Linked DNA regions of Oreochromis niloticus. The protein of the gene in region 2 interacts with the protein of the main gene of each other region in a pairwise test. Links are inferred from orthologs where the notes say so. Each region holds a gene or a part of one and is shown on either strand. Other genes may lie near its edges.

Region 1 (7,884 bases), on a different chromosome or scaffold from region 2:
GTCTGAAATTTTCTCACTACTAAATTTTACACAGTCAGCTGTTAGTTGTATTATAACAAAGTGGAAGCATTTAAAAACAACAACAACTCAGACACACAGTGTCTAGAAAAAAAAAAGTCAATTTTGTCAATCACTGCAGACCTCCAAACTACATGTGGCCTTTAGATCAGCTCACGAACAGTGCATAGATCGCTTCATGGACACACAGCTGCATTCAAGCGACACATCACCAAACACAACTTAAAGCGTCGGTTGCAGTGGTGTAAAGGGCACACCGCCACTGGACACTAGAGCAGTGGACAAGTCTGAGTTTGGTGGTTGCCAGGATAACAGCACTTGTCTGACTGCAAACTCTTAATGCTTCAGCATATCAAGACACTTTGGTCCATTTCATGATCCCTATTTTGTGGAAACAGTTTAAGGATAGCCCCGTCCTGCTCCAACATGACTGCGTATGTTTACTTACACAGTAAAGTCCATAAATACATAGATGAGTGAGTTTGGCATGGAAGCATTTGACTGGCCTGTAGAGTCCTGACCTCAACCCGACACAGCACCTTTAGGATGAATTAGAGCAGAGACTGCAAGCCAAGCCTCCTCAAACCACATAAGTGTCTGACTTCACAAATGCACTTCTGGAAGAGTGATCAGAAATTCCCATGAACACACACCTAAACCTTGTGGAAAGACTTCCCAGAAGATCTGGAGCTGTTATAGCTGCAAAGGGTGGGCTGACATATTAAACGCAATGGATTAAGAATGGGATGAGACTCAAGTTCATATGAGTGTGAAGGCGGACGAGCAAATAGTTTTGTCATTACAGTGCATCATCCTCAACAATATTAGAAATGTAAATGCATTTCTTATCTAACACAACCCCCTTTCCAGCTTGCCAGCTCTGAGAAGCTTAGCTTTAACCCAAAGTTAACAGGATTTCTTAGTTTTGCCTATAAAACTCAGAATGCAAGTATAAATGCACACAGTTAAATCCATGGATTAAGAATGCAGTCATATCCATGGATTTGACAGCTTATTTCACTCATTAAATATGGACTTAAAAGGTTGAAAACTTGATTTCCATCCTAGGAATCTTTAACATGTGGAAATTACTGGCATATTTACTGTCTAATTTGCCTGAAGAAATTCCCTAATGTAGTGCTGTAATTTACAGTAAACAGTCAGGAGCGTGCTGCGTCTTTCAGACTTACACCTCTTCTCTATGAACTGGTGCAGAAGACACGATTTCCCCGTTCCAGCATTCCCAATCACCAGGAATTTAAACAGGAAATCTGCAAAGGAAAAGCAAAGACACACATTACATCAGTTGGGCTATTATTATCAGACTATATGAAACTAGTTGCTCATATAGACGCTAGCTAACACGACAGGAAATTACAACAAAAATGTGGGAAAAGCTCAGTTACTGTAGTCTTAGTTTGGTATTTTCCAGCTCGTTTTTCTTGTCAATTTAGTTTCACTTCCACAGTGAGTTTGCTCGTTTCATTTTAGTGTTTAGCTTCAGTACCAACTTTCTTATTTATTGTAATCTGGGTTGTGCTTTTCAGAGGTTCAGAACAGATATTATAATACAAACACAGGCAGTTAGCTCACAGTCATCTCACAGTCATTCCAAGCCTCAATAACCAAATGTACCAAGGCCTAATAAAGCTACATGTGACAACAAACTAAACTAGTTTAGTTTAATTAGTCAATGTCACCTCAGTTAGTCCATCTTTAAAAAACACAGTTTTATTTTTTAGTTTAGTTTTAGTGAACTGTAATAACTTGACCTGAGAGATAAAACTCATCCTTCAGTTGATCCATCTACAAACTCAGTTGTTCTTAAGGAAAGGAAACAGGGAGAAAAGGTTGAGGTATGCCAAATTACACAAGAACTGGACTGAAAATCAGTGGCAGTTTGGGATCATCCTGATAGAAATCAGAAATAAAGGCAGTCAAAATCCAAAGAAGAGCTTTGAATGTCCTTTTAGAAGCCCAGAGAACTATTCCTGAAGGCTACTTAAAGAAATTACAAAAAACTGTCTAACAGAGCTCAGGCTGTGCTGAAGAATACCAAATCATACCAAATCCTGACTTTCACACTCATTACAAACTCTGTTTTTGCCTTATATTCTGTATTTCCATATATTTTTGCATGTTTCAAAGAAAGTGCTGCACCTATTTCTTATTTTCCTTGCAAAATATAAACAAATGAGGGTGTGGTTCAAGTTCCGTAAACATGACCTTTCAAAATATTCTAGAGAAATTAGAGACTGTAGCTTCATATATTTTATAGCTCATTTAAATTTAGTTTTCCCCCACTTGAGTGGTGAGAGTTACCGTCACTGTTGTGAAGTCTAGTAAATCCAGTAATCTCTGCAGTAGCCTTGCAAACACCCTTATTTACCACCATATACTCCTGTAGTATTATTATAGCTTAAGAGGACTAGTACATTTTTTCATACAAGACCGAAAAGAATCACCTGCGATAAAGTACAATGCAAAATCAAGATGCAGACAAATCATATCACCACATCACCACAGTCCAGCACAGACTAAACTAGAAATTTGATTTTTGTCTTTAATTTTCTTGGCAGGTGTTCCAAATGGGTTTCAGATATATAAGTGTGACAAACTGTGCACACCGGCTCCCAAACTCCATTTATCAGTCAGGCTCAAGCATATGCTGCACAATACTGTGATGCTTTGGCCATAATAAACTGATGTTTAACAACAAACAGCGCCTGGCTTTTCTTGCTTGATGTTATAGCTTTCAAATATTGATATAGGTATTATCCTAATAAAAAACAAACAAACAATTAAGCCCCCCCCCCAAAAAAAAAAATATTCTGGAGGCTTTGATGTAGGCAAACAAAAACTACAATCAGCTGTTCTGTGCAACGGAGGAATTCATCCACTATTAAACCACTAAACTAGCAAAATAATCATTATTTTGGTGTGAAATGGTCAAGCTAAGAAAACAATGCCTCATATGTGGCTGTAATGTTGCAGCTTAGTCAGATATTACAGCTGCACCAAGCCCCAGCCAGGTGTCAGCTTCCCCTGTCTTTTTCGATACCCTCCGGGGAGCTTTGTAACCTTGTGCCGGGGGTACATTTTTTGCACACGGCGACACTAAACTCTGCTGTACAGCCTTTGTGGGTTTCCTTACGCTGACGAGGCAACTTTTAAGGCCAGCAGCCTTCAGCGGCGGCTCGGTTAGCCTGTCAGCTATCTGTTTACGATGAGAAAAAGCTCTCTGGGCACACCTGCCCCATCCCATCTCTGAGGCTACGGGAGGATGATAACGGTGGCCGCCGGTCAAAAGTGCTTTCTTACCGTACGACTCCGACATCGCCAGTGTGGCGGTTTGACAGCAACAAAGAAGGGAGGGAGAAATGGGAGTTGACAGATGGTTAGCTAGCTAAATAAAAGGAAAATACTCCTGTTGGTGATTTCCGCGGAGTCCAGCTGATTTTTCCCTCCGACTTCCCGTACGCGGTTTGTTTCAAAATAAAAGCCGTCTAACCGAAGAACCGTTGGATCACTGTAAAGTCTTCAGGCAGCCGCAGGGTGGAGCTGTGTCTGCTTGAGACTTTTGACACAGACTTGGATGCTATTTAGGTCACTTTTTACATGTGACTAAATGAATAAATATTAAGTCTTTTATTTTGAAATTGGATGACGTTTCCTAAGGTGATCCCTAAAACATAAAAAAGAATTTTTTTTAAATTTATGTGCTACACATATCTGTACACTGAGACTGCTCCAATCAAATTTGACCTGTCCCGACTGAAATTAGCTTTAAATCCACCAGTGTAGGTCAAATCAAGGAAAATGTCATATCTGTGTGCATTATTAATGGGATAGTGGTAATAAAGGTAAAACTATATGTGTTCCCATCACTCCTGTCCCAAATCTCTTCAAGAGGCACTGTTGCCTCACAGTTGGCTTAAATCCTGGTTTGGGCTTAGCTGTGTGGAGTTCACACAGTTTTCTTTGGGTACTCCAGCTTCTTCCCTTAGTCTGAAGACATGTATGTTCGTGCACTGGTGATTCTAAACAGATCACGGATGTAAGGTAGTTGAAGTTTATAGAAGTCCTGCATAAATGTGTAGTTGAAAGTGTTTTGAATCAATAATAAGACTAGAAAAGCATTACATAAATGCAAGTGTATTATCTGAAGGTGCTTTGCACCTGCAAGCATAGTACACAATGTAAGTTAACAATGCAACAATACAAAAAAAAAATCAATCTTTGGAAGCTCTACTTGAGACTACGAGCAAAATGGTTAAGCAGAAAAAAGCAGAAACTAGACCACAAAACTAACTGAGGGTTTCAAATGATTTACAGTTTCACCTAGTCTAGAAACAGAGACCATATGAAGTCCATCAAGAGTGTTCCTGACCATTGGACTGCTTAACAAAGTGTTAGGAAAGGAAAAGGAAAAAAATAGATCTAATGTGAGCAATTTTTTTAACATGGAAAAACTTCCAAAGCCTCTCACAGCCATTAGTCAAAGCTTCAATGTCAGACAAATGCAGGATATTTAACATATTTAATGTCTTACAGAATATTTATTGATAAATTAAACCTTCTTACCTTACCAAGTGTCAGGACTCTTCAAAGCTTTCGAAGGGCAGGGTTTCCCTCCACTGCTCTGAATGCACAGACTAGTTTGTGCACTAAGTGTTACTTACATTACATTATTATACATAAATAAAAATAGTAGTCATGGGGGGGGAGAGGGTTACACAGAAGTGAAGAAACCCTAAAAAATACACTCTTCTTATGTCAGACAGACATTCCAAAGTACAAGTAACATGCCCATGCTGGAGATCTTATAATTTGATGTAGAGAATTTTTTTTACATTCAACAATATTAAAATAACATAATAAAAAATGAAGTTAAAGATTTTTTTTTTAAAGTAAGTGAAAAGACTGACATAAAAATAATATGTACAGTACAGGAAACAGCAGCAAGAAGATATAATACATACATTTGTAAATGTGTGTAGAAAATTATGTCCTGATGGGTGTGTTCAACTGTCACAAAAAAAACTGTTTTGTTTGTTTGTATTTTGTATTACAGTTTTTCTGTTTGTTTGTTCTTTTATTTTAACAAATTTTCTTTTCTTTTCTTTTTTTTTTGTACCTCTACAAATGAGGTATCTTCTGTGTAAAAACGCACAAATGTGCATACATTTCCATTAAAGGAGCAAGCAAGCAAGCAAACAAACAATTACAAGATACCATAAGAAATGAATCACTTTTCCACCATTTTGGCATAGAAATGTTCTATAAATCAGCCCTTACAGCATAAATAACAGATTATTTAATAGTAAATAAACAAACAAACAAAAGCTGGAAAGGGTAAAGAAAAACAAACTAAGTGATAGCACTATGAAAGTTCATCAATGTATTTCCTTTTTAAATGTTCTGCATAGATGTGCAAATGAGGCAGATCTGGTGTGGCTGCACACCATGCACATAAAAGGAGTGTTTCACAGTAAAAGAGGGCTTCATTAAACCTGTACATAGTTTTGGTTTGGTTTATTATTTGTTTTAAGAAAAACAAATAATAAACCTTGAAAAAAATAGATTTGTCCAGCTCAGGTATAGAATTTCCACTTTTAATTAGACATTGTAGTTACTGTGTGTTTTGCTTGGTGCAACCCGTACTCTAGAAAACTGAACATTTTTAAAGAAATATTAAAAAAGTAATTTGCATATATGCCTTTTAATTTGCATAATATTTGCTACATCTAACTTTTTTGGGCTTAAAAATGTCTTTATTTAGGTTTACCAGGGTAAAAAAAAAAATCACATTGATGAAGCCTAAAAAAAATCAGGTCTCAAATATAATACACTTGACATTAAGGGGTTACAATATGTTGGGAAAAAAATGTTACAAAAAGGATTAACATGGTTCTCCTTTTGTGTGAGGTCAAATGTCATCTATACAACAAGTGCATGTTTTAATATTATGTCCAGGGATTAGTTTAAAATTCATCAGTGGCACAGAAAATGTCCTGCAGCGGTAGAATGGCAGCAATTCTATTACATTTTCATGCAGTTGCTACATCCGGTGATTATATTTGCTAAATAACATAGCAAATATAATCAAATTCTCTGAACTTCATTATCTGTGTTAACATTTCAGTGGGAAAGCGGTGAAATTATTGCACAGGAATGAGATGGAGACGCAGGATGAAAAAATAACAAACTGTAAATCTAAACCAATCAGCAGCAACGTTAGGATCAAAACCACTGGCATAATCGAAGATCCTTAGGGTCATGTTTGAGGCACTTTTGTTACCAGGGAGAGCCACGGGGGCTGGGGGTTGGTGTTGCTTTTGTGGCTTATCTCAGTGTGTGGAGAACCTTGAAGTGTTTAGGGAATCCACAGCACTGGTGTATCTTTTGTATGCATTAAACATTTTTGTGTTTCTCAGCCATTTTGAGCTGCTAACAAGCACAAACGCAAAGTTTTCATCATTATTCTGCTGTCAAATCTGAAAGTATGATTTGCCCCATACTTGCCTGAGGCAGTTTGGGGGAGTGATGGAATACATGTACCAGCATTACGTATTTAAAATACAAAATATGAGTAACTGTATTCCATTGCAGTTATCGTTTTAAAAGGTGATATTCAGAATACAGTTATTTCGTTGAAATAAATAGATTACATAGTGGTCTTTTCCTGTTTCGTATGTTAGGCTATGCCCTCTCTATTTTTGCTAATTCCACACCGGTGGAAACCCAAACATAACACACATTAAGAGGCTCTAATGCCTGTGTCTCAATCTCGCGGCCCATGTCAACTCTACTTGGGGCCCGCATAATGACTTGAAGAAATATTTTTAAAAATTATTATTCAAAAAATTATTTAATATGAAGGCAATAGGCAGAGTGTTACAGGCATAGCCCTAAAGAAAGTACGAGTTGTCACTGACCAGATACGGGAGACGGAAGCATGTAAATATAATAATAACCACTGCAGCCAAAAAGAGTGCCTGATGAGCCCAGTTGTAAGTAAGCTATTAAGACTCGACTGTACACTGTGTTCATCAAACAGTAACTTCTATCGGAGGAGCCTTTCAACACCTCTCTCTGTCTCTCAATAGCAAAGTTGACCCAGACAACAAAGTAAAGGTAGTTTTTGGCTTCGAGCCTGACACAGAACCCAAAGTATTAGCCAGAGGTCCCTTTACTACTGTTTGGAGCCGTGGACCTGTTTTATATACGCACAGAATTGTTTTCTGCCCCTTCGGACAAGCACGTTAACATTTGCCTCTGAACAGGAAGTTACCTGGATCACAACGTATGCAGAAGTTTTCACTGAAGCAGGAAGCAAAGTCTGCCTTGCACCCTGCAGGCCAATAGGAAGCAACATAACCTGTTTGGTTTTTTAAATTAAATTTTGTTAGTAGCACAGGAAATCAATTCAGGCCACATAAGTGATCTGAACCAGATGAACTACACTAGGGTTTTTGCTACTGTAAACCTATTGAGCCCTTCAAAGTCCTACAACTGACTGAACACACTGGGCTACATGCTGAACATAGCGGATAGAAGCAAAGTACCAAACCTATCAAGCTAGTATAGAGCCAATACTAACACCAGTATTAGTATAAATACCATCAATATTTTGATTGAACTGCCCACCTCTAGTTTTAGTTTCATCTTGGGATTTCTCATAATTCTTGCTTGTATGCACACATGGGATTACTTCAAAGCAAGTATTGTGTCACGGTCCTGGGCCTGTGGCCCAGTGTTTTGATTCTATATTATTGTTTATTGGGTTCTGTTTTGCTTTTCTAGATTTCTTGTCCTTCTGGGTTGTGATTTCTAGCTCTTAGGTTTTAGTTCTGCCCTCATGTT
Region 2 (8,345 bases):
ATTTAATATAAATCAGCAGCATGAATAATAAAAAAAACTGAAGACAAGCTGTATTAGAAAATAAACCTCCAAATTCAGGTCAGCAGGTTAATTTTTTCCAATCACTCCTCTACAAAAACACTCCACAGTAATAAAGTGTTCGTTACCTTCTGTGCTTTGATAAAATCTCTTTCCAAAACCACATTCTTCTGACGGACGGCATTCAGCTCTGAAATGCACCAGGACGACATTTAATTATAGAAAGCACGCGTTTCCTCTTCAATAAAGTTTTACTGCTAACATGGGCCGATCAAATATTTATGCGATGAATAATTTCATGTACGTTAGTTGAAGTGGAGCCTGTACATTGACTGCATTTAAAGCCTGCTTGTATCCATGAATGTCAGGGTTGCGGGTAGATTCCCTCCTGTGTTTCCTCCTATATTTTGCATTTTCATAGACCATCTCATGTTCTGTTATTTTACTCTAGTGAAGGACCCTGCTTGCTTTCATGCTGTCTATGCTGTGATATGTACACACTTATCTGTGTGCAATTTATTCTGTGTGAATATGTACATTTTAAAAAGTGGGACAAATAAAAAATATCATTACTACTATTATTGGGCCATTGCACTTAAAATACTTCCTGCCTGAGCCTCTCCAAATCAGCTGTTTTATTTTTTAAATAATTATAATATATTTAACAAAGCAACGGAAATTTTTACCTTCATACCATGAATGAATGAATGAATAAATGATTTTGACCCAAAGGAATTGTGGCTAGAAAGAAGACCTTTTATATGCTGTAATTTTTTTTGTCCAGCCATGTAAATGTGTTTTTTAGCTCTAAAATTTTTCATGTGCTGGGAAAATAAGGCCAGAAATTTTTGACCCAAATCTCTGGGTTCTTGAGGGCCTGTTAGTCACGCCACTGATTCATTTTACACAGGACGGCTCTAAGTTAACTACACCAAAATCCTCCTCCGGCCTTACAGTGTTTCCAACTACACATGTTTATTTTATGACTTTTTAAAATCCAGCTAATCCCTGCCCTTTCAAACAAACAAAGATTCATCTATGCAGTCCTGTTTTCCTGGAATAATATGCAGACGGATCTGAAACGGCCGTAAACCGCCCCACAGTTAACAGTTCGCATCAGTCACTTGTAAAACCTGAGACAAAAGCTTCTTGGACAGTGTGTTTTCTCTAAAACTTGCAACAAAATGAGTTTGAAGCAGTTTTGACCTTGATCTTTTATTTTATATTTCATATAATCTCAATGTTGTGTTCTCTCTCATGCACTGTGTGACATTTGCACTTGTCCTCTAATGTCTCTTATAATGTCTGCTGCCCCGTTGGCAAGGTCACTCTTTTAACTTCAGTAAAACCTTCACCCGGACAAAAACTGCCCAGGTGAAGCAGGAAAACTGGTTTTAGGCTAAGGGTCTTCTAATCTGTGTGAATGTGTGTGTGAATGGGTGGATGACTGGATATGTAAAGCGCTTTGGGGTCCTTAGGGACCAGTAAAGCGCTATATAAATACAGGCCATTTACCATTTACCATAATCTGTGTTTTTAAAGATTCTGTTGCTTTAAAGAGCCTCTTGTGTGCTTGTGGTAATTTCAAGTGTTGATGAGATGAAACAGCAGGAACTAGAAGGACAAAGAGTGAAAGGTTTTACCTGCCGTGTTCTTCCTGAGATCATCAGACAGCTGGTAGTTCTGAGTCCGCAGCTCCAACAGCTGGGCCTGCACAAGCACGCGCACACACACACACACACGCACACACACACACACACACACACACACACCAGTATTAATTTATGACCAGCTTTACTTAGAAACTGCATGAACCATGTTGTGTTTTTGATTGGCCAGTAGGTATTTGCATCCCTTTTCAAAGGTCAACTGATGATGAGCTTATTTATCTTTTAACATGTAAATAAACTGATTACTGTGCTCCGCACTGTAACAAGCAGCAGCGTGGTGACCAGAGATCACTGAATGTCAGCAAGAGGCAAAATAACCGCTGGTTTATGCACAGGTGGTCCCACCCATCCTCAAAGAGTTAAAAACCTGGGACTCCATATCAGGTTTTAGAGCTGAAGATGCCCCTGAGATGAGAGATGAAATGTCTTCATGAACCAAGAAGTCGTCCAGCTGCCTTCAACTGAAACACTTAACACAAGCATAGTCGGATCCATCCCAGATATCCAGTTTCAAGAGGGCGACAAGAATACCCTGATCTTGAAGCTTTGTAGCAGGACTTCACAAACCAACGGGTGACATCACGGCAGCTACACCCACCCAAAATGCTGTTTATGCTCATTACAGAGCACTCTACTCTCTTGCCTAAATACACTCACTGCTGACACCAAAAAACACAACACTGGCCGTTCAAATGTAAAGTCCAAAACCAGCTGCTGACACTAGTGGCTACCTCCATCTTTTAGAAAGATCTTTCTTCCTAAATATTTCATAAACAGCATGATGTCCTGTAGGGACCCACCTTACTGGCCCAGAGGAGCCTTACAGCTGCATTTAAAGAGCCCTGCACACATGTTTATGTTTTAAGTACACCTTTCTATTCCTAACTGCATTTATTACAGAATAAAATAATGCGTTTACTACAGTATAATAGCTGTATTAACGGCTTTTTTGTGGTAAATATATTTGAACTCTTCCCTACTGCTGTTTACCATGTCAAGATTCCTGTTCTTACACTTTGTGTAACAACAGAGAACGACTCTATAAGTATATAGTCCTATTAAAGTGGTCAGGGAGGTCAGTGGTTAGTATGTTAACAGGTGTTTGAGCCTCCCGGCCCTGTCTCCGACACAGAGGAGCCCACGGGAGCCTGCCTCGGACCCCGTGACTCTCAGCAGGGCGAGAGTCCCTTGAATGCTAACATGTTAGCCCGCTGTCAGATAGAAATAACGGTTAGCATCAAAAATGCTACGCTGTGCTTTTCTTTACAGAGGGGGAGGCTAAGCTAGGCTAAGTGTTGAACTGAGCTCTCTCGTTGTGTCTGCTTCCTCCCCTTCTTAAGTGTATCGCCCGGAGGCATGTCAAAGCTCGGGCTGCCCGTTACCTTCCTGCCAACGTTAAATGAATAATGTCAGCCGAGCTAGCCGTTCTAACCGCTCCCACCTAGCAACGGCTCACGATTAGCAGACTGTGCTAACGCCCCTGGCAGTGATGCTGCACCGCACAGGTGTTTTTCACCACACTGACACCTACACGTGTGAGAGCCCAGCGACCCAAAAGAACAATCGCTGTAGTTTTTCTCACCTGCATCCGATGGAACTCCTCCTCGGACAGAGCCTGCGACATAGCCATGTTTACCTTCCCTGCTGCTGCGAGCTAGCAGGCTAAGCTAGCGGAGGAGGAGACGCAGCAGCTGACAGAGAGGAGGAGACAGGATGGAGGTTTCACTCTGACGCAGTTTCTGAGAACCGAGCAGCTGACAGAGAGGAGCCGCCATAACAGAGCGCTCACTCTGATGCTGTTTCCGAGAACTGAGGAGAAACCTCAATCACTACGAACTACATTTACTCAAGACCTGCGAATATTTCGAGGTCAGATTTTATATATAACAAAATATATTTATATTTCCATGTAAATATCATGAGAGATAACGAAATACGATCTTTGTTATAGATTATGTACTTTTGTTTAACAAGGCCAAATGAGTGGTGCCTTTACAAAATAATTCCAATAAATAAATTTAAAAACCTTTCACTCCCGCTTCTCACATGTGAGGACTTGCTGTTCTTTTCTTAAGGCTGTTGTTTGAATACTCAGCAAAACAAGCACTGCTAAGGTGTCATTTTAGGTTCTGGACAGCTGAAATCAATGTGCAATGGTGAGCCAGGGTCATTTTCATTACTGAATAAATGAATAAAGAAAATATCAGATCCAGAGTAATGGGAATTAGTTGTGTATGTGGCTCTGAGCCACTGGCTCATAATATATTCATGTTTAATTATGTTAATATGGATCAAAATTGTTGAGGAGTGTTCCCAGCACTCACTGAAGAAGGGAAAAGGTAGTCCAACCTTGTTCTTGTAAGGTGTCTGAGTGTATTTGGTGGCTTTTGCTACTATTGTTTTTAGGTGGGGCTGTAGCTCAGGAGGTAGCACAGGCCATAAAGGTTGGTGGTTTGAGCCCTGGCATACAAAACATCCTTGTTAGATAGAAAGCACTTAAGGACAGGAAAAGAAAAATGCTTATATGAGTGGGTGTGAATGAGGTGTGTTCAGGTAGAACAGAAAAGAGCTACACAAGATTGCCTCCAGTTTATGTGAGAGTGGTTATTCAACTTTTGAACTACATAAGTTAGATCTCTATCTAGTTACCTTTCTACGCCTGCTCGGCAAAAAGCAGAATTAATCACGTGTCCATCACAGTTCAGTGTTTTTAAACACGTGCCTATATCTTTCAGCTTCAGACAAGGCAGTGGTTTTAAATTCCACCTCTGTCAACACTTCTCTATCAAGAAAATCTATCTCTGCACACTGTCTGGTGAACACACAGGTGAAACAGGTTGCCTGACTGCATACATGGTATGCAGCCTGTGCCAGATTACTCACTAGCTGTGTGCTTCAGGAAGGAAATATATTTCTGTAACACACCAACGCTTTAAAATTCAGTGAAGTAACCAGTTGTAAAGTTTTTGTGATTTCTTTCAAACTGTGCACATACTTCCTTGTTCTCCAGTTCGGATAGAGAGAGAGCGAGAGAGAGGCTCAATTAGCTGGTGTTAAATTATTAACTGACAGACAGAGGCAGAACTGAGACACAGAGGGAAAGAGAGAACTAAGAGGTAGAGGTAGCGCGCGCGACAGAGAGAGAGAGAGAGAGAGAGAGAGAGAGAGAGGCTTATTTCAATTTCAGTTTTGGCTGATCAGCCTACAGCCAGGAGAGTAGAGTCAGTGAGGCGCACGAGCTCGGCTCAGGTGTTGGATGTTACTTGACTCGAGATGGAGCTGCTGCCCTCGCTGCTGTCCAGACTGAAGACAGTCGATCCCAGGACTGTGGATCAGGAGTACAGTGTGAGTGTTTGTTTTCATTCCTCAGTTTATGGAAAAGCCAGTTTGAGAGCTTTCACATCCTCGAGAATCTGGTCCAACGAAATAAAAGTGCAGTAATAATGCACTGTCAAGTTCAGATGACAATTGAGAACAGCTTGAGTAACTCTGAGGTTGAGCTTGAGGTTAGTTTTTCTCCTATACGTCACATTTTTACACAATGCACAAACTTCTGTATGTTGTGGACCTTTAACTTCGCTGCTTTTCATCTCTGTCAACGACTTCTTTTATGTGCTGCACTTTCCTGGAAATACCTGCCTCTGTTTTCAACTTTGACCCATCTAATCAAATGAGCTGCAGCCAATAATCAGATAAACTCAGTCACGTGAGGCTGGTGTGTGTAAAACATGCAAAGCTAAATAGGTTGAGTCTAACATGCACACCATATTAGGTTGTTTTCAGACTGAGGATACTCTTATTTTCATGAACGCCATCAGCACTGTACCCTGTTTTTAGTATTAAGCATTAACATTAATACATTAAGAGGGTCCTGAATTCTCTAAGAGCTCCAGCTTTTCCTCCACCTATTCAAAAACCTGCTTTATTAATCCTGCCTGTCTTCATTCAACACAAAGATTTGTGATTTCACTTCAGTTAAGTCTCAAAGACTTCAAACCGGATTTTGACAGGTTGTGCGGGTGTTCCTCAGGGGTCCAATCTCAGTCCATTTCTCTTCAAATTTTATTTTTAGAATAAACACCTGCAGTCCAGACCAGACAGAAACCAACTGTGCCATCAATTCTGCTTTTACAAACCTCACACGGGTCCAATAGTCCTCTTCATTGTCAGAAAGGTTATGACTCGGTCCGTCTTACGTCACACTCCTCTGTGTCACACTTTCAATTACACGGTACTCTTCAGCATGCCATTTAAAATGCAAAGGGTTAAGACGGTGAACATGCTTATCTGAACCCAAAATAAGACCTTTTTCTAATCTGAACCGAGTAACACTGGTGCCTTACCCTGACCAAACAGTAAGTGAAAACAAAAATGACGTTTCTTTTTAATTTTAGTATTTTATTAAGTTTATGTTTAGCCTCAGAGGTGAAACTCAGGCCAGTAAAATACTAAAAATAATTTCCAGTGGATCACAAAAGCCACAGCAACTGTGAGTTATCGGAACATGACAAAGAGACGAGACTCACTTCTGTAGGCGTTTCCAGGTTGACATCTTACCATGATCATACCAACAGACACACTTATGGTAACAGTACCAGCAAGGGTGTGATGGTCCAAACTCTCGTTTGATGTGCCAGATAGACACTGACAGAATATCGACTCATCCTCCTGAAAAAGCTGCAGGAACTAGATTTATATGCAGATGGCCAGTTTGCATATGATTGCAATCAGTCAAATTAGGTATTTTTCAGTGTCCTGGTCCTGCGTCTCTGACCCAGTATTCTGTGCTTGTTTTAGGCTTATTACTCATTTCTTTAGAATTAAGAGGTTTTCATGTTCTAGTTTTGTATTAGTTCTCTGTATGTGTCTCCAGCTTAACATTTCCTAGGGCCTTGTAGGTTTGTTATTGATCTTTCTAGTTCTTGGTTCTTGTTTTTTTTATGCAAGTTCCCTTTTGTTCCTTAATCTCTCCCAGTCTCGTCTGCGCCTTGTCATCGGCGTCTCCTGTGGAAGGCACTCCTGTTTCTGTGTTGTTACCCCCTCTCTCTCCCCGGTCATGTCCCCATGTCCGTCTGGTCTCCCAGAGTTCTGTCTCCATCGTTGTCTGGTTTCCCTGTTTGTTCCATCAAGTTTGTATAGCCTCTTTTCCATCACTACCTACTTGGATCAACTCGCCAGGGCGAGCTGGATTGACCAGTTTTCCATTACAATCGAGTGCCACGTAATGTGTGTGGTCATTGTCACAGTAATGCAGCCGAGGGTCCTGTGATTGAATTAGTATGGAACACGAACAGTACAACAAAGGTGGATGTCAAGGTGTGGATATACCTGCTGGTCAGTCTTTGGCTTTTCGTCAGACTCGGGGATCAAGGTGTTGTTTTTTGGGGGGGTTGTGGTAAATTCCCTCGTTTGTGGCTTTCAAAAATTTGAACTTGTCTTCCATCTGCATCTTCTAGGTCCACTTTGTGCTCTGTTCATGAATGAACCTGACCCCACTGCACAGTGTCCTTTATCCTGCTGTCTTTCCTAAGTGGCTGCTTGGATAAGAGACTCTTTAAAAACTTTGTGTAATGCCAGCTTCAAAGTCACATAAAATTTATGTCCAGAAACAAATCCAGCGTAATTATAAATTTAAATATCAGGTAACTGATCATTTTCTATTTTACTGTTGAATCAAACAAGGAAGCCTGCTTTTGCTAAAACAAACTGTTGACATTATCCAACCATCTATCATCTTATTTCTCTGTGAAAATCAAACTACATCCTTATTTTATAACATAAAACAAGAAGGAAATGCATTTTATTTGAGAGAACTGGCTAATTTATTTTACACCAGCAGGACGTACAATAACTCGGACTATAAATGCTTTAATGCTGTGGTCAGTCTGAAAGTCATGTATGTCGAGTGAGCACTGATCTTAAACTGCTCTAACTGTTTTACATTATTTAACATGTCAAAGCCAACCGTCCCGCTGTGGTGGAACAGCAGACGAGTGTCTGAAATATCAATGCTGAGAGATTTCCACCTTTGCTTTGTCTACAGCGCAGCGCGGTATTCGCTAATTAAGATGAGATGTTCTAGACTTCAAACTGATGCTGTCCTCTACTCTCAGGCTCAGTGATCAGAGGAACATCCAAACAATCCTCCCATATTCAGGACGGTGTTGTCCTCTAAACATGTGTTATTTATCGCCATATATTTAGGTACACATTACAACTCTTAGTCGAAACAATGATCATGGTGACATCGTGTAGCTGTTGCTGCTGAGCTGCAAGGAAACTGCAGCTTTCTGCTAATTTTCTTTAACTGTATTGAAACTTTTTTTAACGTTAGATTAATCAGTGTGAGGCGTATTTCATACTCCAATATTTAAAATGGTCACCCTGCTATTGTTTTCCTGTATCCTAATATCAGAGTACAATTCACACCTTTAGGTCCTTTTTTCTGCTACTTATTTAATCGGTGTGTGGCTGAGTCACATGGCCTGATTGGGCATTACATCCTGCGTGACTGGATCGAGTGAATAGTGATGTAAATTCACATGGTGCTGCTAAATTAATTATTTTGGGGCACGAAACGTATTTGTGTTCAGGGTAAGAAGCCTGTCACTTTGCTACTTCTGCTCTGCTCACATTTTTCTGAGATGAAATGAATTT

Evidence for each region.
Region 1: the proteins of gripap1 (region 2) and rab4a interact in binary tests that used the Homo sapiens proteins (3 or more experiments, as listed by UniProt). The link is inferred for Oreochromis niloticus from reciprocal best matches to the Homo sapiens genes GRIPAP1 and RAB4A.

Annotation. Positions count from the first base shown.
Region 1 is NC_031965.2:25,563,933-25,571,816, reverse strand, and holds the start of rab4a (ras-related protein Rab-4A), read right to left. Parts: upstream 3,512-7,884; 5' UTR 3,356-3,511; coding exon 3,340-3,355; intron 1,290-3,339; coding exon 1,209-1,289; intron 1-1,208. UniProt on the Homo sapiens protein: The small GTPases Rab are key regulators of intracellular membrane trafficking, from the formation of transport vesicles to their fusion with membranes.
Region 2 is NC_031984.2:3,704,575-3,712,919, forward strand, and holds the start of gripap1 (GRIP1-associated protein 1), read right to left. Parts: upstream 3,424-8,345; 5' UTR 3,319-3,423; coding exon 3,271-3,318; intron 1,729-3,270; coding exon 1,662-1,728; intron 209-1,661; coding exon 147-208; intron 1-146. Other genes in the region: ptpn18 (tyrosine-protein phosphatase non-receptor type 18), read left to right, coding at 4,962-5,033. UniProt on the Homo sapiens protein: Regulates the endosomal recycling back to the neuronal plasma membrane, possibly by connecting early and late recycling endosomal domains and promoting segregation of recycling endosomes from early endosomal membranes.